Ovis aries: one gene and its partners. The protein of the gene in region 3 interacts with the protein of the main gene of each other region in a biochemical or structural test. Links are inferred from orthologs where the notes say so. Each region holds a gene or a part of one and is shown on either strand. Other genes may lie near its edges.

Region 1 (4,132 bases), on a different chromosome or scaffold from region 3:
CTCCACCGTCTGCATGATACGCTCTGGAGAAGGGGGAAACTGAGGCCAGGGCCGGGGCAAGGACCTGCCCACTGGGAGGACATGGCCCATCCCAACCAGCCCTGCTGCCCAGGCTGCCTCACCCTCCCTGCCCCCTCCCCGCCCCCTGGGGCTGCCGGGGGCCTGTCTGTTCTCTGGGAACCAGCGAAGAGCACATTTCCCAACACAGGAAATGCCGGTGGCTGTTGGCTCCGGCCCCAGCCTCTTCTCTGCTCCAGCCTCTTTTCTCGGATTCCTGGAATCCTTTGAGGGGTCAGAGAGGATTCTGGCCCCTGCCCTGCTTCAGCACCCAAGTCTTTAGGGAGCTGGCTGGTGGGCTGCCAGCCTGGACAGCCCTCCGGAGAGACATGGCAGGCTCTCTAGGAAGCCACAGCTTCCTGCATCCCCCAGACCCCGAGTGAGCTCCATTTCTCAGGTCAGCTCTGCCTGCCTGTCCTCATGCTCCTTCCCTTACCTTCTGCACTGAGGAGCTTCCGGTCCCGGTACAGATCTGTGAGGAAGAGGCTGTTGACCAGCGTGGACTTCCCCAGGCCCGACTCTCCTGACGGGGGAGACAGGACAGAGGCACCAAGTCACAGCGGTCACCAAGAGGCCACCCCACTGGGCAGAGTGTGTGGGGGACCTTCTTGCTTATCTCATTGGGAAGAGACTAACCCAAACACAGCACAACTGGAAGCAAGCAGAGATGAGAGCTCATCCAGCCAGTGAGGCCCAGAGAGGATAAGGGATTCCTCAGGGTCACACAGCAAAAAGCAAATGTTAGGAACCTGAGGGTTAAGGGTTCTCTGGACCTTGTCACTGACCCCTCCCCCACAACACATAGGATAAGGACTTTGGATAGGATACGGATTTGGGGCCACCTACAGCTTCTGGCTCTTCTGCAAAAAGGCACAGCCACTTGCTGCTTTCTCCTGCCCTGGCCATCCCCCAGTGGCTCAGACAGTAAAGAAGCCGCCTGCAATGCAGGAGACCTGGGTTCCATCCCTGGGTTGGGAAGATCCCCTGGAGAAGGAAATGGCAACCCATTCCAATGTTCTTGCCCAGAGAATCCCATGGACAGAGAAGCCTAGCGAGTTACAGTCCATGGGGTCACAAAGAGTCGGACACGACTGAGCAACTAACACCCATACTCCCCCACACACACAGACCATCCCCAGCTGAAACGCCCCTTGCCCAGCTCTGCCCGGCCCCTGCTCTACCTGCCACCATGAGGGTAAAGTCAAAGCCTTTCTTCACAGACTTCCGGTGGACTTGATTGGGGAGGGTCGCAAAGCCCACGTACTCCTTGTCATCCTAGAGGATGATGAGAAAGCAGAGTGCATTACGGCAGAGGCAGAAGGACCCCGGGACCCAACGCCAGCCTTCTCCCCGCCTCTTGGGTCTTTGCCCAGCCTTCCAGGATCACTGCCACACTCCTCTGAGGCCCCAGGTGGGGCCACCAGCTGGGCTCCTGTCCCTGCTGACTGTCGGGTTCCAATGCATGGGGGGTGCGGGGGTGACCCCACAGAGCTGGGGCCAACACAGGACAGAGCACGTCTCCAGCCACGTGTGGATGCACGCACACACACACACACATGCACACACGCACACAGGCACACGCACACACTTCTGGGGCTCCCTCAGCTCCCTCCCCAGGTCCTCCTGCATCAGCCCACGGCACAGACGGGGCTGGAGGCTCTACCTCGGAGGAGTCATAGGGATCGAGCTTGCCCCACGGGCTGCGGGGCCGGGCTGAGGGGCTGAGGGGGGCTGAGGCAGAGAAGTACTGCTGGCTGTCAGAGGGCTGGGGCCACGAGGGGGATTTGAACTCCAGGTCATCCTGGCAGAGGTCTGAAGCCTGGGGCCTCGGCTCCTGGATTTGGGGCCTGGGCACCAAGGTCTTGGCCTCTGGTGGGTGGTAGGTCTCGCTTCCTGGGAAATCCGTCACGAACTTGTTCAGTTCTGCGTCATCCGCGTCCTCCAGAAAGCGCTTGATCTGAGGGTCAGGGGCGGGGTGGGGTAGGCGGGTCGGTGGCAGGAAGGGAAGAAGGAAGGAGCAAGACAAGAGAAGGCGAGAGGGAGAGAGGAAAGCACGTGTGGTTAGAAGGGAAAGGAGCTGCACAGGCGGCCAAGCCAGAGGAAGCGCTCGCCACCCTCCCCTGCTCACAGGCCTCCCGGCCCAAGGGTCCGGGACAGCAGGAGAGACCCCAGGGAGGCAGCGGCAGCCCCCGGCGCCCCAGCAGCCGCTCTGGGGACCCAGCAGCTCCGGTCTCCTTGCTCCCTCGCTACAGGGTGCTGGTCGAGGCTGCCCCTCCACGCCAGGGCCAGGACTGCCCTAGAGGCCAGGAAGCCAGGCCGAATGAGCGGAGCAGACAGAGGCATTAGAGCGGAGAGGAGTACGTGGCTCAGGACGGAAGGAGGGTGCAGACCGTCAGGACGGGTAGGGGCGGGAGGCGGGAGGGAGCCCGGGCGGGGAGAAAGGAGCCTCCAGCCCCGGGCGACTCAGGAGCCAGCAGGGGGCTCCTCACCTCCGGCCGCTGCAGCTCTGAGCTCCGGGACCGGGAAGGACCGGGAGCCGACTCTCCCGGAGGTGTTCACTCCGGGAGCGCAGAGCAGCTGACCTGAGCCCCCTGATTCCACACCCTGAGCCTGGGTTCCAGGGGCGAAGGGGAAATGTGCCAGGGATGCTCGCGAGGGACCGAGTGAGGGAGGGTGGGAGGACACTGCAGAAAGCCCCCAGCCGTGAGGGTTGTAGAGGCGGAGGCACCACTGGCTGCGCCCTGCCCCCTGCCCCGAGCTAGGCTTCAGCTGGCAGTACCGGAAGGGGTCTGGCCTCGACATTGAAGCACATGGAGGGTGGGCAGACGGTGGCTGGCTCCTCTGCGGAGACCTGTTCCCCCACCATCTCCAGCTGGGAAGACAGGCCACGTCCCCCTTACTCTGACCCTCAGTTCTAGACCCTGAAGCTTCCTCTCTCCTTTGGGGGCCGGCCCCCTTCGTGGAGTGCCTGGCGGTGCTGGGCTCAGCTCTGCCTTACAATACCCACGTGCCATCCCCAGACAATGGACAAGGGCTGGCTTCACAGGCTGACTCACCCCCTGGGAATCGGCCAAGCTAGTGGGGGCTACCCCAGACCACTGTGGAGTCCCAGACAGGGGAGATAAGGCAGCCACCGTCTTCAGCAGGTTCCCGGCTACAGCGGGAAGAACGGAGGAATGCAGTCCTATGCATTGCCAGCTTTCTGCAGAGGGAAGGGACTAGAAGGGGGCTAGAGGGGAAAGCTGCCTAAGAGCTACTTCTGGGCTATAGCCTCTCAAGTGCCCCTGCCAGCTTAGAGCCACAGTCTCCAGGGCTTGCCTGGACAGGAAACGGGGCGCTTAGCCTGAAACTGGAACCAGTGTGTGGGGGCCAAGTGGCCAGAAGAGGCTGTCCTGAGGCAGGCCTGACCCAGCTGGCCTTTTCTCACCCACAGTATCTTTGGGGGCCGGTGGGGTGACCATTCATTCCGGTTTATGTTTGCTGTTCTAGCAGAATTGCCCCTTTCTACTCTTAAAAGTGTCCCAGCTCAGACGATTAATTATACAGCAACGGGGAACGGATGGGGGTGGGAGGTGGGTGGAGTGTGTGTGACAGGTCTTGTTTTCTGGCAGCCCAGGAGTCTGGGGAATTTGGGGAAATCCTGTCCCTCTGCACAACCCCACAGGAACCCAGAGTCCGTCTGGGGGGCAGACTGAGGGTGGGAGAGAGGGGACATTCTCCGCCTGGTTTCACCAGGAGCACTGAGCCAGAGGGGCAGCAGCGAAGGGAGGAGGGAAGGCCCTGCCGGAGACCCCCAGCCTCCTGCAAACCTTCCAGGAGAGCCGCCAGCACCACTCTTCCTCCAGCGGGCACGGGAGGGACCCACAGGAGCTCCAACCAAGGGGTCAGGACCCCAGGGACCTCATCGGCCCCCGGCTCTGCCACGGAGCCAATCCTTCTCTGCCTTTGAGCCCCGATCCAGCCAACACAAGGGAGAAGACGAGGCAGGTCCACCCTTTCCCAGAGCAGCCTTACCCCAGCTTCAGCCCTCTCCTCGGGGACAGAACTGCCTTGCCGTCCCAGGACACGGTCCATG
Region 2 (4,435 bases), on a different chromosome or scaffold from region 3:
GTACCAGCTGCTCCCCAATGGCCAAGATCACATCACCAGGTCGTAGACCAGCCCTATGGCAAAGGATAGAGAGATAAAGGAAGAACTAGATGGCCCACTTCAAGGGCGCATACACCCCACCCATCTCCACCTCCTAACGCAGCCTCTCCCTCACCGGTGAGCAGGGGAGTCCAGGATGACCTTATGGATGAGCACACCATGCTGAACATCAGGGAAGCTTGGTTCTCGAAGCTGTAGTTCAGCAAGGATGCTGAAAGGACACAGATCACTCTGTTGGTCACAGGGCACTCTCCCCATTCGGGGTTTGCCTCACATCTTTCATCAGCACACCGACAAGCGTGTGAACAGGACGTGCACTAGATCCTCTTGATACAAAAACAATTCACTTTTTGCCTTCTAGCAGTTAGGAAGCAGAATGTGTATATAAAAGGTAACATTCCAAATGACACACAGGGTTAAATCAATAGCACTAATGTCATTCTAGAATCCTAAAAGCAGCTATAACTTAGGAAGTGCTATAACTTTAGCTTAACCTAGAAGAATCAATCTGATATTAAACTATATAAAACAAGAACAACATAAAAACACGGGATTAGGAAATCAAGTTGGCTGGAACAGAAAATACTCATAGGGAAGCCACATCTGGAAGGTTGGGTATTTATTGTAAATCTAAGCAATAACAGGATGGAAGGTATGCAAAATAGAGTGAGGTGAGAAAAATCAAGATAATGAGAGAGGAATGAGGCAACTCATCTTAGATAAAAACAGAACTAAGAACGAAGCTCAACAGAACTGCCAGGTACCCACCACTGGTTACACTGATGGCCCTACGTGTCACTACCCCTAAAGCTCATACCTGGGAGTCAAGGTCAGCATCATCACCCCAATGTAGCGGCGCTGGGACCCACTGACTCCAAACCAGGAATCTGTGTTAGAAGGACAAATGAGCCCCACCCAGGTATATCCTTACTTCCCCTCCTCCTCCCAATTGACCCCTCTTCCAGCAAACCCTCCCCACCCCTGCCACTAAAGAAACCCGTTTCCCCAAAAGCCAGGCTTACTCTTCTTTTCTCCACGATGCAGAAACTCTCGAAGGCGATCAGAAGGGATGGCAAAGGAGATTCCAGATGTGACCTTCATGGTATTCACCCCAATCACCTCCCCATCCTGTTGGGACACAGCCCACTATTCTCTAGCCCAGACAAATAATAGGAGATGGGGGTACCTGAGCAAGAGTGGGAGGGAGTTTTGGGGGAGATCTAGTTGGATTCTGGGAGACAGCCAACAAGAAACTGCTCAGAAACTTGACCAAACACCAGTGAATTAGGGGAAACCCACCTCTTCCCATACTGACCTGAGATAGGGATTCTTGGAAAGGATGTCACACTCACCAGGTTAACCAGGGGACCTCCAGAGTTTCCAAACTGCAGGACAAGGAGAAAATATGGCAGAGATCCAGGGACTCTATGCCTCGGGGCACAATCAGGATGTAGACACTTTCTCCAAATCCTCTCCTTTCCCAGCCCGTGAAGGAGTGGCCACATTTTTTGCAACCCAATCCCAGTATATAGGCTCATCCACCATCTATCACAACTGGTGCCTGTACCACACACCCCTCCCCTCTCTCCCAACCTAGTCTCATTTTTCTTATATCAGGACGCACATCAATAGCTGCATCAGTCTGGATATACTCCACATTGGTTTGGGGAAGGCCCAGATCTTTGGCTGGACGCTGAACAGAGCTGACAATGCCGGAGGTGATTGTGTTCTGCAGTGCAAACGGGCTTCCCATAGCAACAACAAACTCCCCTTGCCGGACATCAGCTGAGCGTCCCAGGCGCAGCGTAGGGAGAGGCTCCTAAGGGAGAATGGGTACAAGAGACCTGGCATCTGGAGATGTGAACAAATTCACAGTCCCAAGCAGACATGGCCTGCCCCGACCCCCACCTTGGTCTGAATCCTCAGCGTGGCGATGTCTGCCACGGGATCCACAGCTGTGACCACGGCCTCATACGTGTCGCCGCTAGGCAGCCTTACACGGACTCGGCGCCGATCAGCCACCACATGGGCATTGGTAACGATGAGTCCATCGGCAGCCACCACGAATCCTGAGCCATTCGAGATAGGGACTTCGCGGCCCGAAAAAGGGTGCCTGGAAAAAGGGGGGCGGGGGGACAGTACAGATGTGAGGAGGCTCAGACCCATCCTTCTCGCCCGCCCTCTAGCCCGCGGCTTCGGTGCCTTAGTGTTTACCCCCACCATTACCGGCCCAAGATCTCGATATAAACCACGGCAGGGGCCGTCTTCTCCACCACGTCCGCGATGAAGTTGTACTGGCTCCGGGGAGAGGTGGGCGGCGAGCCAAGGACCGAGGCGAACACAGCCGGGGGACCCCGCCCTCCGCCCCAAAACAACAACAGCACCGCCCCTCCAGCGCCCAGCGCCACCGCTAGCCACACGCGCGGACGGGTTCCGGGAGTTCCGGAGCCTTCCGGAGTCCGGGGATCTGGGGTCCCAGCGATCAGCCGTGCTCGGAGATCCGAAGTCCAGGACCTCAGGCATGTCCGTGGTTCAGGGACCCCCACAGACAACCGGGCCCTGAAACTGGGGGTCCCATAAGTCACTCGGGTCCGAGGGTCAGGAGTTCCTGACGTCAGCAGGGCCCGGAGGTCAGGGGTCAACAGGGGTCCCTTTCCCCAGAGACCCCCACCCAAAGCCCGCCATCCCGGGAGGCTCCAGCCAGCACCCCGCCCCGCCCTCAGTGCAGCCATCAGCTCCGCCTCGGCGGCTTCCTCGCCCGCCCAGCGCAGAGGCGGCGCCCTAGACGCGACCAGGAGGGCAGCTGGACGCTGAGGACGCCGGTACCTGAAGTCTCCAGAAGTGCACGCTGGGACCCAGGATTCCGGGAGGCCAACTCCGCCCCCGCCCCGCGAATGCCGGGAATTGTGGTCCCCGCGGGACGCGAGTTATGAGGTGGCCCACGGGTCCGCGAGGCATGATGGGACCGCTAGCCCTTCCGGGGCGCCTCAGAATTTCAGGTCCCGGCACCCTGGGCGGATGCCCGAAGACTCCGCCTTCCCAAGAGCCCCTGCGGCGGGGCGCAAAGATGGCGGCAGCGGCCAGACAATCCTAAAGCAGCGGCAATGGAGCCTCCGTCGTCGCCGGGGCCGGAGCGGCTCTTTGATTCGCACCGGTAAGAACCCCGGCGGGAAGAGACCGACTTCCGCGTCCACTTGGCCTTCGGCGCCCAATCACCCCGCCTCTCGCCCCCAGGCTCCCGGGTGACGGCTTCCTGCTCCTCGCGCTACTACTCTACGCTCCAGTCGGGTTCTGCCTCCTCGTCCTGCGCCTGTTTCTTGGGATCCACGTCTTCCTGGTCAGCTGCGCGCTACCAGACAGTGTCTTTCGCAGGTTCCGACCCGGGCGCTCGGGGAGGGCTGGGGCTGGGCCTGGCCCAAGGCCAGGTAGTCACCACTGCCTGCGTTCGCAGGTTCGTGGTACGGACCATGTGTGCAGTGCTGGGGCTCGTGGCCCGGCAGGAGGACTCTGGACTGCGGGATCACCGTGTCAGGGTCCTCATTTCCAACCACGTGACACCTTTCGACCACAACATAGTCAACCTGCTCACCAGCTGTAGCACCGTGAGTTAGGGAGGAAGCCGAGAGTGCCACGGAGTGGCTCCCTGGGGCCCAGCTCAAGGCACCCCTCTCCGTGTTCGGGTTTCCCATGGGGACCACAAGATACTGACCCTTACCCCGACCTTGCTTTTCTACCCATATGTCAATTTTTCTCACTTCACAGCATTCTTTTCTTCTTGCTTTCTCTCCTTCCGGTGCCCAGCCTCTACTCAATAGTCCCCCAAGCTTTGTGTGCTGGTCTCGGGGCTTTATGGAGATGGATGGTCAAGGCGAGTTGGTGGAGTCACTCAAGAGATTCTGTGCTTCAACAAGGCTTCCCCCTACCCCTCTGCTACTATTTCCCGAGGAAGAGGCCACCAATGGCCGGGAGGGGCTCCTGCGCTTCAGGTAGGTGAGCACAGGTATCTGTCTCCAACTGGAGGTGATCAGGCTTGGGGGCCCTGGGGTTTTCACAGCCCTCCCCATTACCTTCCTAGTTTATTTACTTTTTGCCCACTTTTAGTTCTTTCCCCTGAATCTGTTTATTTCCCACATTTCTATTTGTACAGTGTGACAGTATCTGTTTTAAGTCAGGTATGAGCTGCTGACTAGATTGGCTAGAATCCCATCTTACTTTTTTCACTCTTCTAGTTCCTGGCCATTTTCTATCCAGGACGTGGTACAGCCTCTTACCCTGCGAGTCCAGAGACCCCTTGTCTCCGTGGTGAGTGTGTTCCACAGGGAATCTCTGGGTTTGGAGGGGAAGTTTCCTACTCCTGGCCCTGGTTTAGACCTCACTCATGCCCTCCCCTCAGACG
Region 3 (3,702 bases):
GTAAATACACATAAAATTTACCCTCTGAGCTATTTTTAAGTGTACAGTTCAGTAGTTTTAAGTACATTCACATTGTTGTGCGGTCAGTCTCCAGAGCTCTTTTCATCTACAAAACTGAAACTCTTTATCTATTGAACAGCTTCCATTTTCCCATTCCCCTGGCAGCCACCATTCTGCTTTCTGTCTCTGTAAATTTGACGACTGTAGGCATCTGATCCAGTGTCCTTTTTTATTCATTGTAGCATCACATGCAAAAGTAATGTGTAAATTAATTGTTTTCCTCTTCATGATTTTTTAGGGGATTACAAAGGTACTTTTAAAAAACACTTCGAAGGGGTAGTTCCCTCACCCCCAGGACTGGCCTGGGGAAGAGAAACTACCTGAGAGGAGGGAACCCCGAAAGAGACCTGCTGTGGACTCCAGGCAAAAGGAATGCCTGGGTACTGGGAGCTGTAAGCATGACGGGAGGAAGTGTAGCGGGACAGGCTCCAGGCACACAGGCGAAGCGCAAGAAGATTGGACAAAAAGCCACAAAGTTACTTGTGTTCCTTCTTTTCATTTGCCTTTTTCAGCTTCTACTGCATGATCTCCGAGTCGTTCTGCTTGTGGACCACAGCAGAAAGCTTGTCATCTCAGTGTTTTCTCTTAACCAAGTCACTCTGCTTTTCCATATTCCGCTGGCAGGCTGGCTTTTGCTGGTTGCCACAGTCTTGGTGATGGCAGGAATATACACTATTCTTTTTTGGTCAGGTGCATCCATATAATATAAATCAGTTTATAATGCCATCCCTTTACTTTTGTTGTTTGCTGTGCCCCGAATGCCTTTTTCCTGTTTGTATAGCTCATCTCATTCCCCACTGCACCCCCGATTTGATTCCCTAAACCCATTTCTTGAACTTGTCCTTCAAGGCTCAGCTCAAAGGTCACTCTTTGAAGTTTCCCCAAAGACCTATAGCACACTTTGCAGCTTTCTCTGCTCTCTCTGTTAAAGCATTTGTAACGTTGTTTTGGAACTTTTTCTGTCCCCTTCTATCTGTTAGGCTTCTTGAGGACAGACAGTTTATCTTTCTTATCTCTGTGTTCCATATTTGAGTTTTGAATTATGCCCAGGAGGTTGCCTTTTAAGAAAAAAAAGAAGCAAATAATCCTTTTCTCCATGGCTAGCGAGGAAAACCTTACTGAAGCAATTCTGGTATCTTTTTCCAGGTTAAAACCTTTCACTGGCTCTGGAGCCCTTGGTGTTAAGTCCATACTCCTTCACATGGGTTACCAGATCCTTCATGATCAGGCTCCTGCTAACCTTCTATAGCCTCATGCTATTTCCCCTTCACATTCTCTTCCCAAACCTTACCTGTGCACTTGCAGGCCTCATTCTGTTTCTCACCTTGGAGCCTTGCCTATATCATTTCCTCTGCCCAGAGCACTCTTCTCCCACTGCTCTTGTCCTTCAAGGTCTAAGGCTTTCTCCCTCTTTTAGTTTACTCGTACTTATCCTTTAGGACCCAATTTAGGTATAATATTTTCTGGAAGGCCTTCCCTCTGTGTATACATGGATACACAGCCTTCCTATGTTCTTCATAACACATTGTCATAACTTTAATCATTACATTGTACTATAATTTCCTGCCTACATGTGTTCCTAACTTGTCTATGAATGATTAGGAGCCCAGGATCTATATATTTGTTACTCTGTCTCTAATGCCTAGAACCTAGCTAAGTCTTCCATAAGCATTTGTTGAATAAAATTAAACCACTGTTTCCCAAACTTGTTTTCAAAATAGCGTTCCCCAGAATGTTAAGAGATGTCATGAAAAAGGAGCTCTGTAGTTAAATAGGGAATGCATTTTGAATTTCTAAGAGGGCATATATGCTTTGTTATGCTGTCCTCAACTTGATAGTCATGGTTCAGAAATGCCAGTATGCTCAACCCCAGAAATATTAGATTGAGTGAATGGGGCCCAGGAATCTATTGTGTGTTTTTTTGTTTGTTTTTTGTTTTTTAATGCCCCTAGTGATTCTCATGTGAAGCTAAATTTGGAAACCACTGGTATACAGTGATCACAAAGATTGTTAAAATATGTAATACATTTGGAATAGTGCCTAGCACATAGTAGAAGTGCTGTATTACTTTTAACTGCTGCTATTGCTGATGTTGTTGTCATAGTTATATACGATTGTGAAACATATTTTTGTGCCACATTTGTTAACATTTCTCAAAACTAAGTTTGACAAAGGCTGAATTAAACAAGAACTTCAGTGCCACCTGTATATTGATGAGGCCCAGGTTTCTATCTTTAGCCCTGATTTCTTCTGACCTTAAGACTTAACTCTCCGATTACCTACTGGACATTTTTATATGGATGTTCTGCAAACACCTCAGAAATATCTTAAAAATCCCAAACCTGTACCTCCATTTTTATTTCCTATTGGCACTGCCATCCCCTTGTCAGCCATGCTAGAAATCTTGAAATCAACTTTATTTCCTCTTTCTTCCTCATCCTTCACATCCAATCACTAGATCCTACTTGTCCCATTTCATAAGTAGCCCTCCACTTCCATCTCTCCATTTCTGGAATAAGCGATGCCCTTTCAATATGCTGCTACTTTTACCTAACCCTTGCTTCTCTGCTTAGCAAATTTCTGTTTTTAAATGTTACTCTTCCACCTCCCCACTTCCCCACCTAACAGCCACCAACCCGTGAAACCTTCCCCACCTAACCTGAACAGAAGAACTTGTTCTGTTACCTTGTCCCAGAGCACTTTGTAATTTTATTACAGAACTTATCACTGTGTACTTTGTGCTTACTTCTGTAGCCTCAGCTCACGTCCTTTTCTCCCACTAGCCTGTGAACTGCTTAAGAGTAGATGCCATGTATGAGTTATCCCATCTCCTGACACTTGATCAGCGTCCGGCACATAAATTCACTGTTTCCAACTCAGAACGTCTAAAATTAACACTTTTTTTCTCTTTGAACAGACATTAGTACTGAAGAGCAGCTAAGGCTCCTACGAGAGGAGAAGCTTTGCAAAATCTGTATGGATAGAAATATTGCTGTCGTCTTTATTCCTTGTGGACATCTGGTCACTTGTAAACAGTGTGCTGAAGCAGTTGACAAGTGTCCCATGTGCTACACAGTCATTACTTTCAAGCAAAAAATTTTCATGTCGTAATCTAACTACAGTAGGCGTCTTATGTTCTTATTACCCTGATTGAATGTGTGATGTGAACCAACTTGAAGAAATCAGCATTGAATTCCATTAGCATTTGCTGCCAAGTAGGAAGAAAGTGTAAACTGCGATGTTATAGTTGGCAGTCTAAAATTTGAATTTCTGGATTTTTCAGGATGTTAACTGTATTAGCTGTTCTATTTTTCTCCCACTGTTATTTAATTGAAACCCTAGACTAAGAAGCATCATATTGTAACTGATCACAATGTATGTTTTATAGTACACTGACTTAGTTTTCTAAATGTAAGTGAATTAATCAATTGAATTTTTCATTCATTTTGGATAGGCTTAACAAATAGAGCATTCTGTATGAATGGAGATTAGAGTTAATCTCCCCAATCACATAATTTGTTTTGTGTGAAAAAGGAATGAACTGTTCCACATTGGTGGAAAGATGGAGATGATTTTTAGATGTTTGTGTTTTAGGATTTTTGTCCATTTTCTTTTAAATTATACACATGTACTTGGGTGGAT
Region 4 (4,217 bases), on a different chromosome or scaffold from region 3:
AAACTAGGAGCGGGTAGCAGGGAGGGGTGGCCGGCCAGGGCATGGGATTCCCCCACCGGCCGCCCCATTGTCCCCCCACCTGTGGCCCCCAATAAATATCTGCAGGGGACGCCGGGGCTGGTGGCCCTGGCAGGGGTGGGTATGCGCCAGCCCTATTTCAGGCAGCGCTCGAAGTAGGTGGAGCCGATATAACCACCCCGCATGGAGCGCTGCACATTCTGCTCAAACAGCCTCCGGTTGTTCTGCAGGACCTCGGCGGCTTCCTTGTTCAGTGGGTCTTCAGGGTTGGGCTCCTGTGGCCGGTATGGGAGGGGCAGGAGGTCAACAAGCCCAGAAGTCAGAGGGCCAACCTCCCCCAGCTGCCCTCCCACCCCCACCCCTACTCACCAAGAAGAGATACTGCAAGCCATAAATTATGGAGTTTATCGTAAGGACTGGCTTCCAGTCCTCTCTGTGGGCAGAGAGCATCATGATAGGGGCTGGTGAGCGGGCAGCCACCACAGGCCCTGCTGGGACCAGACAGGTCAGGCCCAGGGCATGGGACAGCACGATCGGGAAATGCTAGCGGGAGGGTGCAGAGAAGCACAGGCCAGAAAGCCAAGGTCAAGCCATGAGGAAGAAAACGCAGAGCTGAAGAGACAGAGGGACACACAGACCACAAGGGGAAGGGAAGGGAAAGAGACTGGTATAGTGCAAGGTCATGAAGGGGGCCTGGCAGGCAGGGCTGGGCAGCGTAGTGGAGGGCCAGTGCCCTCACCTGAGGATGTTGAGGCAGACGTTGCCCTCGAGGTCAATGTTGGGGTGATAAACCATCGTCTCACACTTCACCTTGGGGGGGTCATGCGGGTAACCCTGGCCCACCTGGCTCCAGGAGAAGAGAGGGCAAGTGGATAGGTGCACAGCAGTGCCTGGCTGGGGCCTCAGCTGTTGCTTCCTCAGCCCAGGGAGCCACCCCTGCACACCTGAGACTCACCTTAAAACTGAACACAAACTTCCCGCTCTTGTAGAAGCCCTGTGAAGGAAGAGGAGAGGAGTCAGAACCCCACTCTGCAAGGCCCGGCAGGTGAACCAGCCAACTTGAGGTGGTGTCACCTGCCGTGCCTGAGAATCCAGTTAAGCGTGCCCTCACCTCATCAGGACAGATAACCAGCTTGAAGTTGAGGAGGTCGTCTGGATCTGAGAAACTGATGTCACACGTCTTGGGCAGATTCAGCTCGTTTATGTCTGGGTTTTCACAGCAGAGAAGGGAAACAGGCCAGGAAAGGGGGAGATAGGGGGTGCTCAGAGCAGGTGCCAGCAGAGCCTCCATAACCTCTACCCAGGACCCCAGTTCTGTCCTGGGCAGTGGGCCACCCCCTCCTCCCTCTCCCTGCTCCTTCTGCTCCGCGTCTCCAGGCAGGCTCTTCCGTATCTATGGAACACTGCAGATATGCTGGAACTCCTGGGGGGCAAGCTCTAACTCTTCTGAATCCAGTCGTAAGTCCCCCAGCCCAGCTCCTACATGTTCCCACTCCTGTGTGTCCCACCCCAAATCCAGCATCCTGACCGCGACCTCCGCTTTCTAGAGGAGTCTCTACTTGTCTGCGCAGATGCAAGGATCTTATTTCCCTTCCTCACCCTAAATCACCACCCCCCCCAGTCCCTGGCCCCCACTGTCCATACACTCCTCTCTGCTTGTCGTCCTAAACTCAGGATCCCATCTGACCTCCAGATCTGTGAGTTCCCAAGCCTCCTACCCTATACTATTCTGAGCATAAGAGTTCCAGCATCTCTAGCAGGATGGTCTAAACCCAACCCTACTCCTATCTCTATAATCCCTGGTACCCAGCATCCCTCCCTCCTCCTGTCACCCCAAACTGACATGTGACTCACCCAGACCCACGACACCCAGGCCCCAGAACCCACTTCACCAGGTCTGACTCTGATTCCCAGTGACTCTAGCGTTAATACACTAAATCTCCCACCCCGATCCTCAATCCTCGGCCCCACTGTCCCTATCTCCTCTTCCTGTCGCCCAGGTTCCCATCTGACCCCCCGACTCTCGAGTTCCCGGTCTCCCTCTTCCGCTGCCACCCTCAGATTCTCGGTCCCTAGTATCAGACTCCTAGCTTTCCGAACACGCTCAGTGCCCCCTGCTCGGCCCCCCTACCTCCGACCACTTTGGTGATTATATTACCCCATCCCCGGCCCCTCGGCCCCCAGGCCCTGGTCTCCGATCCCCACATCCGCGGCCTCCCCGTTTCTGACACCTTTGACCCCTGGCAGCCGCATTACTCCACACCTGACTCCCGTATCACCCGGAGCCAGGCTCTGACCTCCGACCTCCACTCCCATCCCCCGACTCCCCTTACCCTTCTGGATCCGCAGCTGCGCCGCCGACGCCTTCTTGCTGCTGCCCTTGGTGCCGCCCGCCGACTCCTCCTCCTTCTTCTGCTGCTTCAGCGAGAACAGCTTGATCATCCTGCCGCCGCCGCCGCTGCCGCCGCTGCGGGGCCCGGGACCCCGGCCACCCGGCCCCCCGCCGCCGCCCGCGCCGCCTCCGCCACTCGGACCCGCCGCCGCGGCCTCTCCGGCTGCTGCCGCCGCCCGCCGGGCCTGCCGCGCTGCTCCGCGCCCACCGCGCGGCCCGCGTCGGCTCCCGTAGTCGGCTCTGGCCTGGCCCGGCGCCTCGGGCCCGCTCGGCGGCGTTCGGGCCCGCTCGGCTGTTCTCGGGCTTACTCGGCCCCGCCCCCACCCGCCGCTCCCTCCTCCCGGCCGTCCGCTCCGGCGTCCTCAGGCTCGGCTGCGGACGCGGGGTCCTCAAGCCGTGTCCCTGGGCCTGGTCACTCGCTCTCTTCGCGAGGGCTCTGCGGCTCGAGGCGGAAGGGGGAGGCGGGGGCTGCGATGGCCGTGCACTAGACAGGAGGGCCGGCTTCCGTGGCAGCAGCGGCTTCGGCGCGGAGGTCCGCAACGGCCTCGGGCGCCCCACCGCTTCGGCTATTTCCGTCGCCTGCCCGCTTCGGCTCTTCCCGCCCGGCCTGCGCTGTGCGCTTGCGCAGCCGCTGCCACCGCCCCACGTTGCTCCGCGCTGGGACTTGGGGATCGGGCTCCTTCGGCTTGGTTCGGGTATTTCCGTTCGTGCGGGCCGGGCCGGTCACTTCCGGGGACGCCCGCGAGTCCAGGGAGGAGGGGGATGGCGGTGTCGCCGCCATATTTAAGTGGGGCAGATGCAGGCCGCCTCACTTGCGGGCCGCCATGCCCACTCGCAGTTGTGCGGACGGCGGCATAGACGGGCCAAACAAGGGGCTTGACCCCAGGGGCCACAGACGGAGGCAGGGTTAGAGTCAGAGCCTGAGCAAGGCCAGGAGCGTGGCCTAGAGTGCATGACTCAGAACCTTCGGGGTCCCATCTCAGGCTCAGAGAACCCGCCTGCAGAGTTTGGTTGAGGTAAACTAGCAAATAAAACGTGTCAGAGGATAGTATAACACTGTGGAGGTTTACACGGGCTCACACGCTTGGGGGCAGCCCTCCGCACGGGTCTAGAGTTTGCCCGCAGGCGACCCCCGGCCTTCCGCCATCTCCGTCCGCGAGGTGGGCGGAGCCAGCCTCCCCTCCAATCACAGCTCAGCGTGCGTTGGAAGGCGCGAGCAGGCGGCGCGGAGCGGTTCTGCGACTTCAGGCTGTCACCGAGGACTCCGTCAGGCGGTGAGCGGCGCCACGAGGGCTGGTCGGGGCGGGGGGCCGGGCCCGGGGGGCGGCCGGGGCTCTGCCCCTGAGCCTTCCCGCGACCGAATGAGGCTCCTGCCGCACGACCCACCCCGTCGCTGAGGCGGCGTGCCGCCGTCTTCTGGAGCACAGTGGGAGTAGTCCGGCGGCCCAGTTGGGCCCGCGCTAGTGGTGGGCCATGGCCTCCTCTTGGCTACCCCGGCCCGATCCTCACCCCAGAAAGTAACCTCCACCTTTTCGGGCCGTGATTTGGCGTCCCTGCCGACCCCAGCCTCCTCTCGGGTACCCTCGGCGTCCTTGGGCTCCGTGGTCTCATATCCTAGTCGTGGCTGTTGCAGCCGTTCCCTTTTTCTCCCGCTTGCATTCTCTTTCCTCCATTCCAGAAGCCCCCCTTCAACCCTCTGGTCGTCCTCGCCCCAGACTGCCGGCTTCGTTGATTTCCTTGAGAGCTGTGTGCTGGAGAGGTGCTGGGGTGAGGCTAAGCGATTGGAAGCTGCAGAAAACCTCAGGTT
Region 5 (3,702 bases), on a different chromosome or scaffold from region 3:
CCGCCTCCATGGACTTCATGGCGTGGGCTGGGCACAGGTCAACCCAGGTGAGCCCACGGTGCCCCATGGAGCTGGGACCATGAAGCTGAGCAGCAAGAAGCATGCAGGAGGGAGTCACCCCTTCTGTGACCCCCAGGGGGACAGTGGCATCTCCAGGAATAGGCCCAGGAGGGACAATGGAAGTGTCCCCAGCCTTGGAGACCCTCCACCCTCCATGTGGGAGCGGCATATTTCCTGGACGGCAGCCTGCTCTGCCCTGCATGGGCCACTTAGGGCCCTGCAGGGCAGTGTCCAGATATCGGGGTTGTAGTCTGACTAGACCCAAGACTAGGACATGTTGCCAGTCCCCAGGGGCCTCAGTTCCTCTGAGTGTCTGACGGGAAAGTGGGGCTGAGAGGTCCCTGAGCCCCAGGGTCCAGGAAGGGCTCCCCCACCACTCACCTTGGGGTGGATCTTGATGGTGGCGATGTCCGACTTCTTGTCGATGTCCTTGATGGTGGCCTCGTAGGTGTCACCATCCTGCAGCTGCACCCTGAGCTGCTGCCGGCCTGAGACGGTGTTGGTGCTGGACACCACGTGAGCGTTGGTGACGATCAAGCCCGCTTCCGACATGATGAAGCCTGAGCCGCTGGACAGGGGCACATTGCGGCCAAACAGAGGGTGTCTGTGGGGGAGGCAGGTGGGTGGGCTGGGTCAGCCACAGCCAGGGTCTGGGGGAAACGAGCATCCACCAGGCCTTAGGATTGAATCCTGGCTCTGCCACCTATTGGCTGTGGCCTTGGCCAGTCGTTAAGTCTGGACCCATTTCACAGCCACAGAGAGGGCAACAATGGCCTGTGACTTGCCATTTGCGAGGACGAGATGTGAGGCCTGTGAATGTCAGCTCCATGACAACGCAGCAGGCACTTCCTGCCCTGGAGCCAGACAGACCAGGATTGTAACCTTGAGTCCAATCCCCACTTACACCTGCCTGACTGTGGACAGCCACGGGGCGGACCCCTCTGGGCCTCAGTCTCCCCATCTGGGAAATGGGCCGATACCACCTGCTCCACCAAGCAGGTGCAGGCAGTCGGTCAACAAGCCATAGGGAAGACAGGAGGATGTGCACACAGCTCCACGGGACTCAGCAGGCCCTCGGGGAATGTCAGCTTCCTAATCTCCAGCTGCACAGAGAGAGGGTCATAAACACTGAGGGGCCCATGCTCCCACCTCCCTCCGGCGCCTTGGTTGCCTGCCCTGAAGCCCTGGAAGGCTCAGGGCCTTCCCGGGGGAGGGTCGCCACTGTCTCTGGGGCCGCAGTGCAGGGTCTGGACGGGGCAGGTCAAGCATGCCTGAGGCTGCTGGACAGACACCAGCCATAAAGGGTCTAACTGTGTGTGTGTGTGTGTGTGTGTGTGTGTGTGTGTGTTAGGGGGCGGGGATGGGGAAGGGCGGGGAGGAAGAACAGAGAGGATCTCTGGGAAGCGCAGAAACGCCACCTCCCCAGCAGGTCAGGGACTACCAAGGTCACCAAGAGTGCCCACGGAGCCAGAGACCGAGTCCCACCGTGCTCACGGCCGGCCTACAAGAGAGAGAGGCCCTCCAGTTCACAGGTGGGGAAACAAGGCCTTCAGCCGCCTGGGTCAGTGGAGGTGGTGTCAGCCCCTTTCCTGGATGAGGAGACTGAGGCTCAGAGCGGTCAGCCTCCTGCCCACAGTCAGTTCACAGGTGGTGACCCAGGCCTGGTGACATGAACCAGCCTCCCGGGTCAGGGGAGGTGGTGTCAGCCCATTTCCTGGATGAGGAGACTGAGGCTCAGAGAGGTCAGCCTCCTGCCCACAGTCAGTTCACAGGTGGGGACCCCGGCCCAGGGACACGAACCAGCCGCCCGGGTCAGGCAGGGGAAGGGCAGAGCCAGGCTTTGACCTGGGCAGCCTGGCCACTCAGCCCCTCCAGTGGTGACCAGAGCATCTGTCTGCTCAGGCCTGAGACCAGCTCCAGCCTCCACCCGGTTCCGTGCAGTTCCCTGAGCAGTGGCTGCACCCAATTTTGGGGCCTGCCGGGTGCAGGATTCGCCTCGGGTCTGAGGAAGAGCCCCAGGCAGTCCAGGGCCCCTCCCTGTGCACTCGGAGGTCACAGCCGGAGGTGCCTGTGCTGGAGGACCACGCTGCCCATGTCTGGGATGGTGCCCACCTCGGCCTCACCCTGCCCTCACCCCAAGACTTCAGCCTCCAAGGAAGGCTGGACCCACCATTGCGGCCTCCCACTGTAGTCAGCAACTATCTGGTTCAAGGGCTGGTGTCTGGAAGGACGCTGCCCCCCAACAACCACCTGCAAGGCCAAGGACGGGCCATTCACACATTGGGCTGTCGTTTCCTTAAAGACACATCTCAGGGTCTGGGGCCCGTGGGAAAGGCAGTGAGGGGTCAGCGTGTTGCAGGGGGATGGGCTTGGCTCTGAGATGCCAGAGACCTGGGGGGCAGCCCTGAGCCTGGGGCAGCTGCCTGGGCCACTGTTTCCACATCCAGAAATGGGAACATGGGACCCTGCCTTCCTGACCCGTGGGAGGGCCTCGGAGTACGGTGCAGCTGCTGTCGGTCAGCGCTGAGGTATGGGCTGCTGGGCCTGGCTGTCTCCTCCGGGAGGCGGCACCAGGCCGGGGCGATGGGAGAAGCTCAGGAGGGCAGGAAGGGCAGCCCGTGTGGCGACGGGCACAGAGCAGGTTCCGAGGACCGTGCTGAGCTCGCGCCAGGCATCTGCTCAGCCCCTAGGCCTCCAGAGGTTGGGGGCGGGATGCAGGTGCTCCCACTGATCAAGCTCCACGGCCAGCGGGCAGGGGCGGGGTCCCGTGCCGGGGTCAGGAGTCAGCGTGGGAGCGATTCTGCCCACTCCTGGCCCCCTGCTCGGGGTGGGGTTGGGGGCGGGTTGCCTCATCCCCTGTGCTTTGGGGGGCTTGATGACGCTGGCTGCCCCCACTGCTTGGGGAATGCCGTGAAGTCAAGTCAAGCGAGGCCCCGGGGTTGTGGCCGAGGCCTTGGCGATGGTCCCCTCGGGCAGCATGGCATGCAAGAGGCTGGCTCCCTCTGACCCCAACAGGATGGAAGGGGAGTGTCTGACCCTACGTGTCCTGTCTGGGCCCCTGCCAGCCCCCTCCACACACAGCGGCCGTGAGGTTAAGACAGAGCTGCAGTGTCGAAGTTGGTCTGGGAGGAGACCCCAGGATTCTGTGGGAGCCGGGGGTTTGCAGGGCGGTATCAGCTCAGACAGCCCTCGTGACCCTGCAGCAGCCGCTACAGCTGGGTCAAGTGCGAGCTGCTTTCTGCCTCCTTAGGCCACTTGGTCAGGGTCGGGGAGGGGCGTCCTCCCCAGGGCAACAGCGACCAGGAAGTCTGAGCAGGGTCCGCTGGACTCCACAGCCACTCTCGTCTCTACTGGCCCCCTTCCCCCCAGTGCTGGGATCGAGTCTAGTCTGGGCCCAGCAGATGGTGGGGTGGGGGTAGGAGGGGCTCCACGCACCTCAGGAAGAGCTCTATGTGGACCACAGCCGGCGCGATCTTCTCCACCACATCGGCAATGAAGTTGAACTTGTACCGTGGGCTGGTCAGCTGGTGGAGACCTGTACTGGCAGGAAGAATCAGGTGCATTAGTGAGGCCCAGACCTCCAGGCACAGGGCTCGCTTCTCCCAAGGGTGGCGGATGCCGGGCTTCCCCACCTTATATCTC
Region 6 (4,467 bases), on a different chromosome or scaffold from region 3:
CAATAAAAAACTATTAATTAGAAAGTTAACAATAATGATATTTTGGCTGTGTAAGAAAATGTCCTTATCTTTGGAAATGCAAGTTGGCATATTTAGGGGTAAGGTGTCATAGTGTCCACAGTTTAGTTTTCAAATGGTATAGCCAAAAACACTTCCCACATGGCTCAGTAGTGAAGAAGCTGCCTGCCAATGCAAGAGACACGCAGGAGATAGTGATTCAACCCCTGGGTTGGGAACATCCCCTGAAGGAGGAAATGGCAACCCATCCCCATATTCTTGCCTGGAAAATCCCATGGACAGAGCCTGGCAGACTACAGCCCATGGGGTCACAAAGAGTGGGACATGACTGACTGACTGACTGACTGACTGAGCACACAGGCACGCACGGCCAAAAATAATGTACACAGTATGGCAAGATGCCAATAAATCAGTCTATAGGATTACTATGTGGGTTCTGATATTACCAAACTCCTGTGTACTTAAAACTGTCCTAATAAAAAGTTGGGGTTGGGTTGGGGGGCAGGTGGGAGGGAGCTTTGAGAGCTCCAATTCTACAAGGAAAAATAAAATCAATCTGATACTAAAGCTGGGACTTGTCTAGAACCAAACACAATTCCATTTTACTACAGCATCTATTAAATATAGTTTCCCCTCTGGTAGCAATAAGGTAAACAAGGGATGAAAGTTCCAATTAAAACACTTAAAAGACTGAGTCTACACTGTAATCATCAAATTATTTACAATAAATCTTTAATAGTTATTTCTTTCAAGAGAGATTCATGGAGAGCATGACTAGATAACCATTCTATAATGATATTACATTCAACAAGACTCAACACACGTTTGTATTTTAAGCAAACGACAAATCAATCTGTGAACCATCCACTTCTTAGCTCTATAATTCAACCTTTTCTCTACAGACATTACAAAGACATTCAACTACAAATTTTCTTAAATCTATCTGATAATACATTAAAGGAAATTACAAACTACTACAATTTGGGGCATCAATAGATTTCTGCAACATTTACAACTATGCATGAAATTTAAGTTACTCAAGAGAATTTTATCAACACTTTCTTCTGCAAAGAGAAATGTAAAGGCTATCTAACTTTAACCATCATCAAAGAAACAGAGTATAGGTCAATGCTACATGAGAATTTCAGTTAGTTTATAAATACTCATTAGTTTGCTACATACATACGAAAGAAAACAATCACATCATTAAAAAATAACTTTTACAACACTCTACACATTAAATTCTGGCTCTCCACTCAGAGATATTGCACAAGTTAATGCACAAATTACTAAGCATGCTGTCATTGCCACATAATCCAGAAACAAATTTTGCAATAAGGAAATCTCAAGCAAATAACCCAACTGTGAGTTCCCTGTATGCATCAAGAATAAACTGCACAAATTGTAACTTTTCAAGAAATACGGAGTTTAACTAAATCTATTTCTTCTTTTTGATAAGAGGGGAAATATTTTCTGTTCGGTCAGTTCCAACTCAAAAAAAGAAAAAGGTAAAGGTGCCTAGAGTCACCTTTTAAAAGTAATTTTGGGGGGAAAGAATCAAGAAGATCATTTGGCTAGGCTGCAGCAAAACACACTGAACAACCTACAATAGGGGCATATAAACTCGATCTACTTTTTTAAATATTTAGATTTCACTCCCAAGAAGAAACTTTTCAGGTTTTCTCATTTTCCTCACATATTTATTTTCGCAAGATCTGAACTAGAGAAATACACTTCTACAGAAAAGACATCATATTCGAACCAAGGCTTTCCCAGATTACCAAGCTGCGTGACCTTGGGCAAGTTCCTCAATCTGAGCCTCGATGTTTTCAACCGTAAAATGGAGAGACAGTATCACCGCACTGGGCTTCCAAGGTGAGGTGAAACAATGCACGGTTAAGTATCGGGGGCGTAACAAGTGCTCGCTAAATGGTCCCTAAAGCGAAAGGGGCATCAACCCCAACCACTAGTGCACGACGATACAGCGGGGCAAAGACAAGCACTTTCTCGCTTCCTGCATGTAACATTTCTGCCTCTCCCAAGGACCAGGCGCAATCTTCCTTCCAAAGGCCCGGCGGAGTACGCGTCTTGACAGCTCCACCGCCCAGCGGTCTACTTCGCTCAGACCTGGACTTCAGGACAGGATGCAAGGGACCCAAGGTCCGCCCACCCCAAGCGAGGCAACAACCTAGCAAAATCTCCGCCCCAGGGGCTGCGCCCAGGCCGGTAACGGCCCCCTCCTCACGTCCGGCCCCCTCCCCGCTCCCCCACCCCCACCGCCACACATTTGTGCGGGCGCGCGCGCGCGCTCACACACACACACGGACACACACACGGACACACACACACACACACACACGCACGCACGCACTTACCCGCCGCTCCGCGGGGACGTAGGGAGCCGCAGACCCACCCCTCCGCCCCCGCGCGGCCTGTCACCGCGCCCCCCGGTCGAGGGAGGCTGCGGGCCCCCGGGGACCGGAGGGGCGCACGAGGAGTCGGGCGCGGGCCGGGGGCCAGGCCCGGCCCTCCTTCACATGGAGCCTGCGGCGGGCGCGTGGACCGTGGCGGCCGGCCGGGGCCTCTCGGCGCCCCTCGTTCCTTCTCGCCGCCGCGGCCCCGAGGCCCGCGGGAAGCTGGGCAGAAAAGGAGGAAGCCGCGGGCCGGGTGCCGCCGAGGCCGGAGAAGGGGCGGGAGCGACGACTCCGCGGCTGGGAGCGCCGGGCCGCCCGGTAGTCGTCGTCGTCGTCGCCGCCGCTGCGGGCCGCAGGACCCCCGAACACCGCACCCAGCGACCGCACCACCCTCGTCGGGAGCCGCTGCTGAGGGCAGCCCGGCCGCCACTACACACGGACCCGTGACGTCGGGCGTAGCGCGGCGCACGTCACGGCCGGCTCTCTCGTGCGCACGCAGCCCTCCGCCTGTCGGGAGCGGAACCCGCCGGGGGCGCGCGCGCTCGCTGGAGGCCGAGGGGGCGCGAGTCCGCGCCTGCGCAGTGGCTGGCTGCGCCCACGCACGCCCGGTGGCACACGCCGGCTCAGTAGTGCGGAGATTCCGGGCCTGTGCTCTCACGCACGCGCGTGCACCTCAGTTCCCTCGCGTCTACCGGAGTCCTTGGCGCCGAGACGCCAAAACAAACCTCGAAAATGGTCTCCCGCGTGGGCTTCTGGCAGAGCGAGAGCAGCGGAGTGAGAAGAGGCTGCGACCCACTTCGAGTCCATAGCAAGTCGTTTGCAGGCGAAAAGATTTCGTTTTGGGATCTGGTTTCAGCATTTTTTCCTAAAAGATTTAAGAAATTTTTGTCGACTTGTCACCTGACCGTAAACCACTACCCTGGAGATCGGCCTTCTAAGTTTTACAGTTCACTGTTTACTTCTTGTATGTATTCGAGGTCGGCCCAGCAAGTATTACTTTTTAATTGTTAACAAATGTGGAAATCTCGGCGCAGGAAGATGAGTTGACACTCCACCCCCAGCACTTGTGACAGAGTCTAAAACCCAATCGCTTTCACGGAGTCTTTTCTTCACTCCCCGTCGCCCCGCAGTACTAAGTACAAACTCATCGCATTAGCTTTGGAGGCCTCTGTTATGTGACTGACCTGCATTCTGCATTGTCTCCAGCCCAAACTACTATGATCCAGAGAGTATCTGTCCTGCCCCGTCTCTTGTTTCCTCAAATACCCCTTACAACTTCCTGCGCCATTTCTTCCTTTAGCATCTGCGTGCTTTCTTGGTAGGTTGTGGATCCCACCTGCTTCCTGCCTCATATCCACTTAAACAGTTGAAATAAGAGTGGTGCCCACCCAGAGGAAAGCAGCTACGCAACCTGCGGCCCTGAAGAACAGGGGAGATCGCACCTGTGGGGCAGGGACTGAGGGAAAGGCTGTTCTGTAATAAAATACCTAGATCCCCTTCGTGAAATTTTTATTACAGGCACACTAGCGGTGTTGTCAAAGGAGCAAGAACAGAGATGTTCATTGGCAAGTTTTTGTAACGGTGAAGCCTAGAAACCTAAATGACTCCGACTGAGCGGATAAATAATGGTTCATTTGCTCTGCAGGGAATTAGGCAGCCACCACAAAGAAAGGCTAAATGCTGGAGGACCTCAAAAATACAAAGCCTAATAGAAAAGCACTTTGCTGCCACTAATTTAAAAAGTAGAGTACTTTTAAGCTTATGTATGCAGAAAACCGGTCTTTAAGATGGCTTTTGGTTCTAACGTCTAAGCCTGATATACCACAGAAAAATAAAGGATCTCAATATACTTGGGCAGGATTTAAATCTTAAACGTTTTGTTATTTTCCATGGTTCCTAGCCTGACCATATAGTGACAGTGAAATTGCTGAGTCGTGTCCAGCTCTTTGCGACCCCACGGACTGAAGCCAGCCAGGCTCCTCCATCCATGGGATGTTCCAGGCAAGCGTACTGGAGTGGGCTGCCATTTCCTTCT
Region 7 (3,702 bases), on a different chromosome or scaffold from region 3:
GCCCATGGTCCAAATCACCTGTAGGCACTGCCTGCAGGGCTGGGCACACTGCTCCTCTGCCCCAGGCCATCAAAGTCTGGCTCTGGCCTGGTGTCACAGGTGCTTGGTACCCTGTGGCAGTATCTGCATCCTGAGGTGCGGGGCGGGATGGGGGTACTGGTCTGGGTCAGGAGCCCAGTTCTGAGACCGTGCTCCTTTAGCGGGGCCCTGGCCCTTCTCTAAGCTCTGAGCCGCACCCCTGCGCGGAGGGCTGGCCAGGCTCCCGCTTCCCAGGCTCACCGCAGTAGGCGAACTTGAGGGACAGCACGCAGCTCTCGTGCAGGTGCAGCTGGTACTTGTCGGGCTTGGTGTGGTGCAGCACCTCCACATTGCTGCTCTCCATGCCCACGGCCAGCCACTCCCCGGTGGGGCAGTAACCCAGCGAGAAGATCTGCAGGGATGGGGCGGGCAGAGATCAGTGTCCTCCAGAAGCACAGCGGGGCAGGGGGACAGGAGGAGGGAGAGGAGGGGCGCTCTCCCACGGTCCTGCTCAGGAACCCTGTGGGCTCAGCGTCTTACCGACTCCCTCCCCCAGCACCTCCCCACCTGCCATGTGCAATGCAAAGTCCCCCTCTCTCCCCATTAAGGGAAGAGGATCTCATGTTTTATCCACAATCAACTTCCCAGGTGAGGAAGCTGAGGCTCAGAGAGGTTGCTGACTCTAAAAAGTAAAGTGGCAGAGCCAGGATTCAAACTCAGAGGTGACACAGACATTTCACGTTCAAAGTTATTCTCTGTCTCGGTGACTTTTACCTTTCCTTAAGAAAAATATGAGTAAATAAAACACTAATGTATTAAACATGTAAGATTAAAATATTAACACAAATAATACAATAACAAAAAATAATACCTAGCATTTATGGAATGCTTTCTATAGCCAGGCTTACAGCCAAGGCTTTCAGAGGGACCATTTCAGGTACTCACACCAGACCCATGAAGTAGCTATGACTATTCCCATCCCAGGAATGAGAAAACTGAGGCCAAATGCTCAATGGCAGAGGAGCTGGGTATCAAGTCTGAGCAGCAGGGGCAGATGCGACCAACTCCAAAGCCTTGTGGATTCTATTTCATGGCCACTTCCTCCGGGAAGGCTTCCTAGATGACTCAGGTTGGTCTCAGGTCCATTTGTAATGACCACGTGTGAGGACCCCTTGGTCCCCTGAACCAGCCACTGAGACCCAGGGAGGAAAGGCCCCACGCTGCTCCAGTGGATGGGGCGGGGGGGTCTCAGGCACACACCTGGGAGGTAAAGTCGTGCTGCTGCAGCTGCCGGCCCTCCCGCAGGTCCCAGGAGCGCACAGTGTTGTCCAGGCCTCCCGTCCACAGCTTGGTGCCGTCATGGGAGATGTCTATGCAGCTGGCCCCGTCCGTGTGGCCCTGGAACTGCCTAGGAAGGCCAGGCAGGGATGAGGGTAAGCCCCAGGGAAGCACTGCCTGCTGTTTTGACAGCTGTCCCAGGGAGATGCCAACTCTCCCCCAGCAGAACAGGAAACTTGAGGGCCACGGTCTCTCAGGGCTCCTCTCCCACTTGAGCGTCTCAGCCAGGGCCAGAACTCTCATGAGGTCACAGGGAGGCAGGGCTCAGACCCAGCAGCTTTGCTCCCGAGGCCCCACACTTAAGCTCCTCCATAGCGGTCTCGACGCCGCCTCTTCTCCCCACATCTCTGCGTGTCTCAACTTATCCGAGTTCTGCCCTGCGGGGTCTGCTCCAGGGCCCCCTCCCCGGAGCCTGGTGCAAGCTCCTGGTCCACAGAGCCCTCCCGCCCCTGCTGGACACCTGGCACAAGCCGCCGTCCTTTCGCCTGGGCGCCCTCGCCTGTGCCACCCCGGCCACCCCACAGCACCTCTGACCGGCCGTCACAGCCACGACGCCAGCGCGGCCTCCCCAGGGCGAGGACAGCCCTGCCCCTCCCGTGCCTCACCTGACCAGCGTCTGGTTGTGCAGGTCCCACACGGCAATGTTGCCGTCGCTGCAGCAGGAGAAGCAGACTTTGGCGTCAGGGCTGATGGCCAGGGCATAGCAGGCCGGAGCCGAGGACGTCAGCTCAGCCTTGATGCGGGGCGTGGGCGAGGCCAGGTCCCAGATGGTGAGCGTGCTGGCCTCGCCGCCCACGATGAGCGTGCGCCCGTCGGGGAGCAGCTTGCAGGAGCGGATGTAGTTGTCCCTGTTCTGAAGGAGGAGGGGGCAGTGCTCAGCGCCGCCCACCCCTCCTCCCAGGGACCGGGAAAGTCACATCCAGCCACACCAAGCATCCTCGCCACATCTGCTCACTTCCTGCCCTTATTCGCGGTTGCCAGGCCAACCCCATTGCTCCCTCCTGACTTTTTAAACTTCCACTTCTCTACAGACCCCTGGAGACCAGCATCATCTCCCCTTAACAGACAGTGACAGCAGGGCTCAGAGAGGTTTGCCAGGTTGCCCGAAGTCGCTCAGTCGATACAGGGCTGCACCTGGCCAGGTCAGTGGGGTGCCGCCCAGGCCCCAGCTCTCCTATGACAGCTAGCAGGGATGCCCGCAGCCCTGGGGTCCTCACCAGGCAGTCCAGCTGGGAGATGGGGCTCTTGCTCCCCGGCTGGCTGATGTCCCAGATCTTCACGCAGCCCTTGCCTCCTGTGTAGACGTGGCGCGTGGGGTTGCTGATGGTCACCGCACACACCACCTCCCCGTGGCTGAGAGTGTTGATCTGCCGGGCGTGCCTGGGGATGCCAGGGCCTGCCAGGGCGTCGTGGGGAAAGGGCACAGGCTGCATCTGCCCATCAGCACTCACATGGAAAGAGTAGGCTCTGAAAGGGGGAGAACCACGCTTCTGCCATCTCCAGTCCTCTAACAGTTTCCTGACTGGCCCTAAACCTTGCCTGGCCTGCCTGCCTCCAGGTGTCCCCTGCCCTCATCTTAGGAAACCTGGTAACCCCAACCTCCTTGACCTGGTTCCACCAGGGCGGAGACAGCTTCATAGTCCTGCCCTGACTTCTGCCCCTGCTAATAGATCCTTGCTCCAAACCACGTCACTGATCCCTCATTGCCTTGGAACAACCTTTCCCGCCATCTATACAATCCCTAGCACTCTGGCCCCGGAAAGGGCCCAGCTTGAATGCCACCCCTCCTCTAGGAGCCAGTAGTATTAGGGAAGAAAATCCGCTTGCCCCCTGTCCCTAAATGAATCACAGAGTACACATCAGAGCCAGGGGTGAGCCAGTGTGGTCTGCCTGCTGGTTCAGGTCATAGGAGTGCCAGCTGTGGCTAGAACCCACAGGAACCCCCAGGGCAGGGAAGATCCATGGCATCCAGCTGGGAAGCCCGACATGTGAAACGCTCCTTCCCTCTCAGAGCCCAGGGATCACAACCTCAACCCCAAACCTTCTCCTTCCCCTTTCAGAGGGAGCCCAGGGGCGATCAGGAGTGCAGCCAAGCAGCCATCAACGGGATTGCAACCTGCCCCAGGGGTACCCCTAGAGAGGCAGACACCCTTCCCCAGGAGAGGCCCATCAGGGCAGGGGATAGGTGGGTGGGTGGTGTGCTCTCTGCCCTCCCCAACAAGCAGAAAGTAAGTAGTCAAGGCTTACGGTTTTCCACCAGGAATGGAGGCGAGGCTTGAGGGCAGGCCTGTGGCCCGCATTGGGGGGTGAGGGTCAAAGCCAACCTGTAAGGCAAGACAAGGCCAG

The links.
Region 1: the proteins of XIAP (region 3) and SEPTIN4 form a complex in vitro, tested with the Homo sapiens proteins (4 studies listed by BioGRID, with this or other methods). The link is inferred for Ovis aries from reciprocal best matches to the Homo sapiens genes XIAP and SEPTIN4.
Region 2: the proteins of XIAP (region 3) and HTRA2 form a complex in vitro, tested with the Homo sapiens proteins (10 studies listed by BioGRID and IntAct, with this or other methods). The link is inferred for Ovis aries from reciprocal best matches to the Homo sapiens genes XIAP and HTRA2.
Region 4: the proteins of XIAP (region 3) and UBE2M form a complex in vitro, tested with the Homo sapiens proteins (2 studies listed by BioGRID). The link is inferred for Ovis aries from reciprocal best matches to the Homo sapiens genes XIAP and UBE2M.
Region 5: of the proteins of XIAP (region 3) and HTRA3, one has a biochemical effect on the other in vitro, tested with the Homo sapiens proteins (3 studies listed by BioGRID and IntAct, with this or other methods). The link is inferred for Ovis aries from reciprocal best matches to the Homo sapiens genes XIAP and HTRA3.
Region 6: of the proteins of XIAP (region 3) and MAP3K2, one has a biochemical effect on the other in vitro, tested with the Homo sapiens proteins (2 studies listed by BioGRID, with this or other methods). The link is inferred for Ovis aries from reciprocal best matches to the Homo sapiens genes XIAP and MAP3K2.
Region 7: of the proteins of XIAP (region 3) and TLE3, one has a biochemical effect on the other in vitro, tested with the Homo sapiens proteins (2 studies listed by BioGRID). The link is inferred for Ovis aries from reciprocal best matches to the Homo sapiens genes XIAP and TLE3.

What each region holds. Positions count from the first base shown.
Region 1 is NC_056064.1:9,172,091-9,176,222, forward strand, and holds the start of SEPTIN4 (septin-4), read right to left. Parts: upstream 2,974-4,132; 5' UTR 2,924-2,973; coding exon 2,837-2,923; intron 2,015-2,836; coding exon 1,721-2,014; intron 1,333-1,720; coding exon 1,239-1,332; intron 581-1,238; coding exon 494-580; intron 24-493; coding exon 1-23. UniProt on the Homo sapiens protein: Filament-forming cytoskeletal GTPase. Pro-apoptotic protein involved in LGR5-positive intestinal stem cell and Paneth cell expansion in the intestines, via its interaction with XIAP. May also play a role in the regulation of cell fate in the intestine.
Region 2 is NC_056056.1:96,382,398-96,386,832, reverse strand, and holds the start of HTRA2 (serine protease HTRA2, mitochondrial), read right to left. Parts: upstream 2,868-4,435; 5' UTR 2,772-2,867; coding exon 2,266-2,771; intron 2,153-2,265; coding exon 1,948-2,152; intron 1,859-1,947; coding exon 1,664-1,858; intron 1,425-1,663; coding exon 1,392-1,424; intron 1,168-1,391; coding exon 1,062-1,167; intron 927-1,061; coding exon 857-926; intron 251-856; coding exon 155-250; intron 54-154; coding exon 1-53. Other genes in the region: lipid droplet-regulating VLDL assembly factor AUP1, read left to right, coding at 3,144-3,193, 3,274-3,411, 3,491-3,641, 3,841-4,025, 4,269-4,341, 4,433-4,435.
Region 3 is NC_056080.1:107,880,142-107,883,843, forward strand, and holds part of XIAP (E3 ubiquitin-protein ligase XIAP), read left to right. Parts: intron 1-2,977; coding exon 2,978-3,171; 3' UTR 3,172-3,702.
Region 4 is NC_056067.1:66,428,679-66,432,895, forward strand, and holds the start of UBE2M (NEDD8-conjugating enzyme Ubc12), read right to left. Parts: upstream 2,992-4,217; 5' UTR 2,461-2,991; coding exon 2,352-2,460; intron 1,225-2,351; coding exon 1,130-1,224; intron 1,013-1,129; coding exon 974-1,012; intron 862-973; coding exon 758-861; intron 507-757; coding exon of another isoform or gene 452-506; coding exon 388-451; intron 294-387; coding exon 153-293; 3' UTR 1-152.
Region 5 is NC_056059.1:115,314,397-115,318,098, reverse strand, and holds part of HTRA3 (serine protease HTRA3), read right to left. Parts: intron 3,596-3,702; coding exon 3,496-3,595; intron 665-3,495; coding exon 442-664; intron 1-441. UniProt on the Homo sapiens protein: Serine protease that cleaves beta-casein/CSN2 as well as several extracellular matrix (ECM) proteoglycans such as decorin/DCN, biglycan/BGN and fibronectin/FN1.
Region 6 is NC_056055.1:118,121,609-118,126,075, reverse strand, and holds the start of MAP3K2 (mitogen-activated protein kinase kinase kinase 2), read right to left. Parts: upstream 2,884-4,467; 5' UTR 2,394-2,883; intron 1-2,393. UniProt on the Homo sapiens protein: Component of a protein kinase signal transduction cascade. Regulates the JNK and ERK5 pathways by phosphorylating and activating MAP2K5 and MAP2K7. Plays a role in caveolae kiss-and-run dynamics.
Region 7 is NC_056060.1:16,936,319-16,940,020, forward strand, and holds part of TLE3 (transducin-like enhancer protein 3), read right to left. Parts: intron 3,681-3,702; coding exon 3,604-3,680; intron 2,824-3,603; coding exon 2,574-2,823; intron 2,210-2,573; coding exon 1,962-2,209; intron 1,427-1,961; coding exon 1,279-1,426; intron 431-1,278; coding exon 280-430; intron 1-279. UniProt on the Homo sapiens protein: Transcriptional corepressor that binds to a number of transcription factors. Inhibits the transcriptional activation mediated by CTNNB1 and TCF family members in Wnt signaling.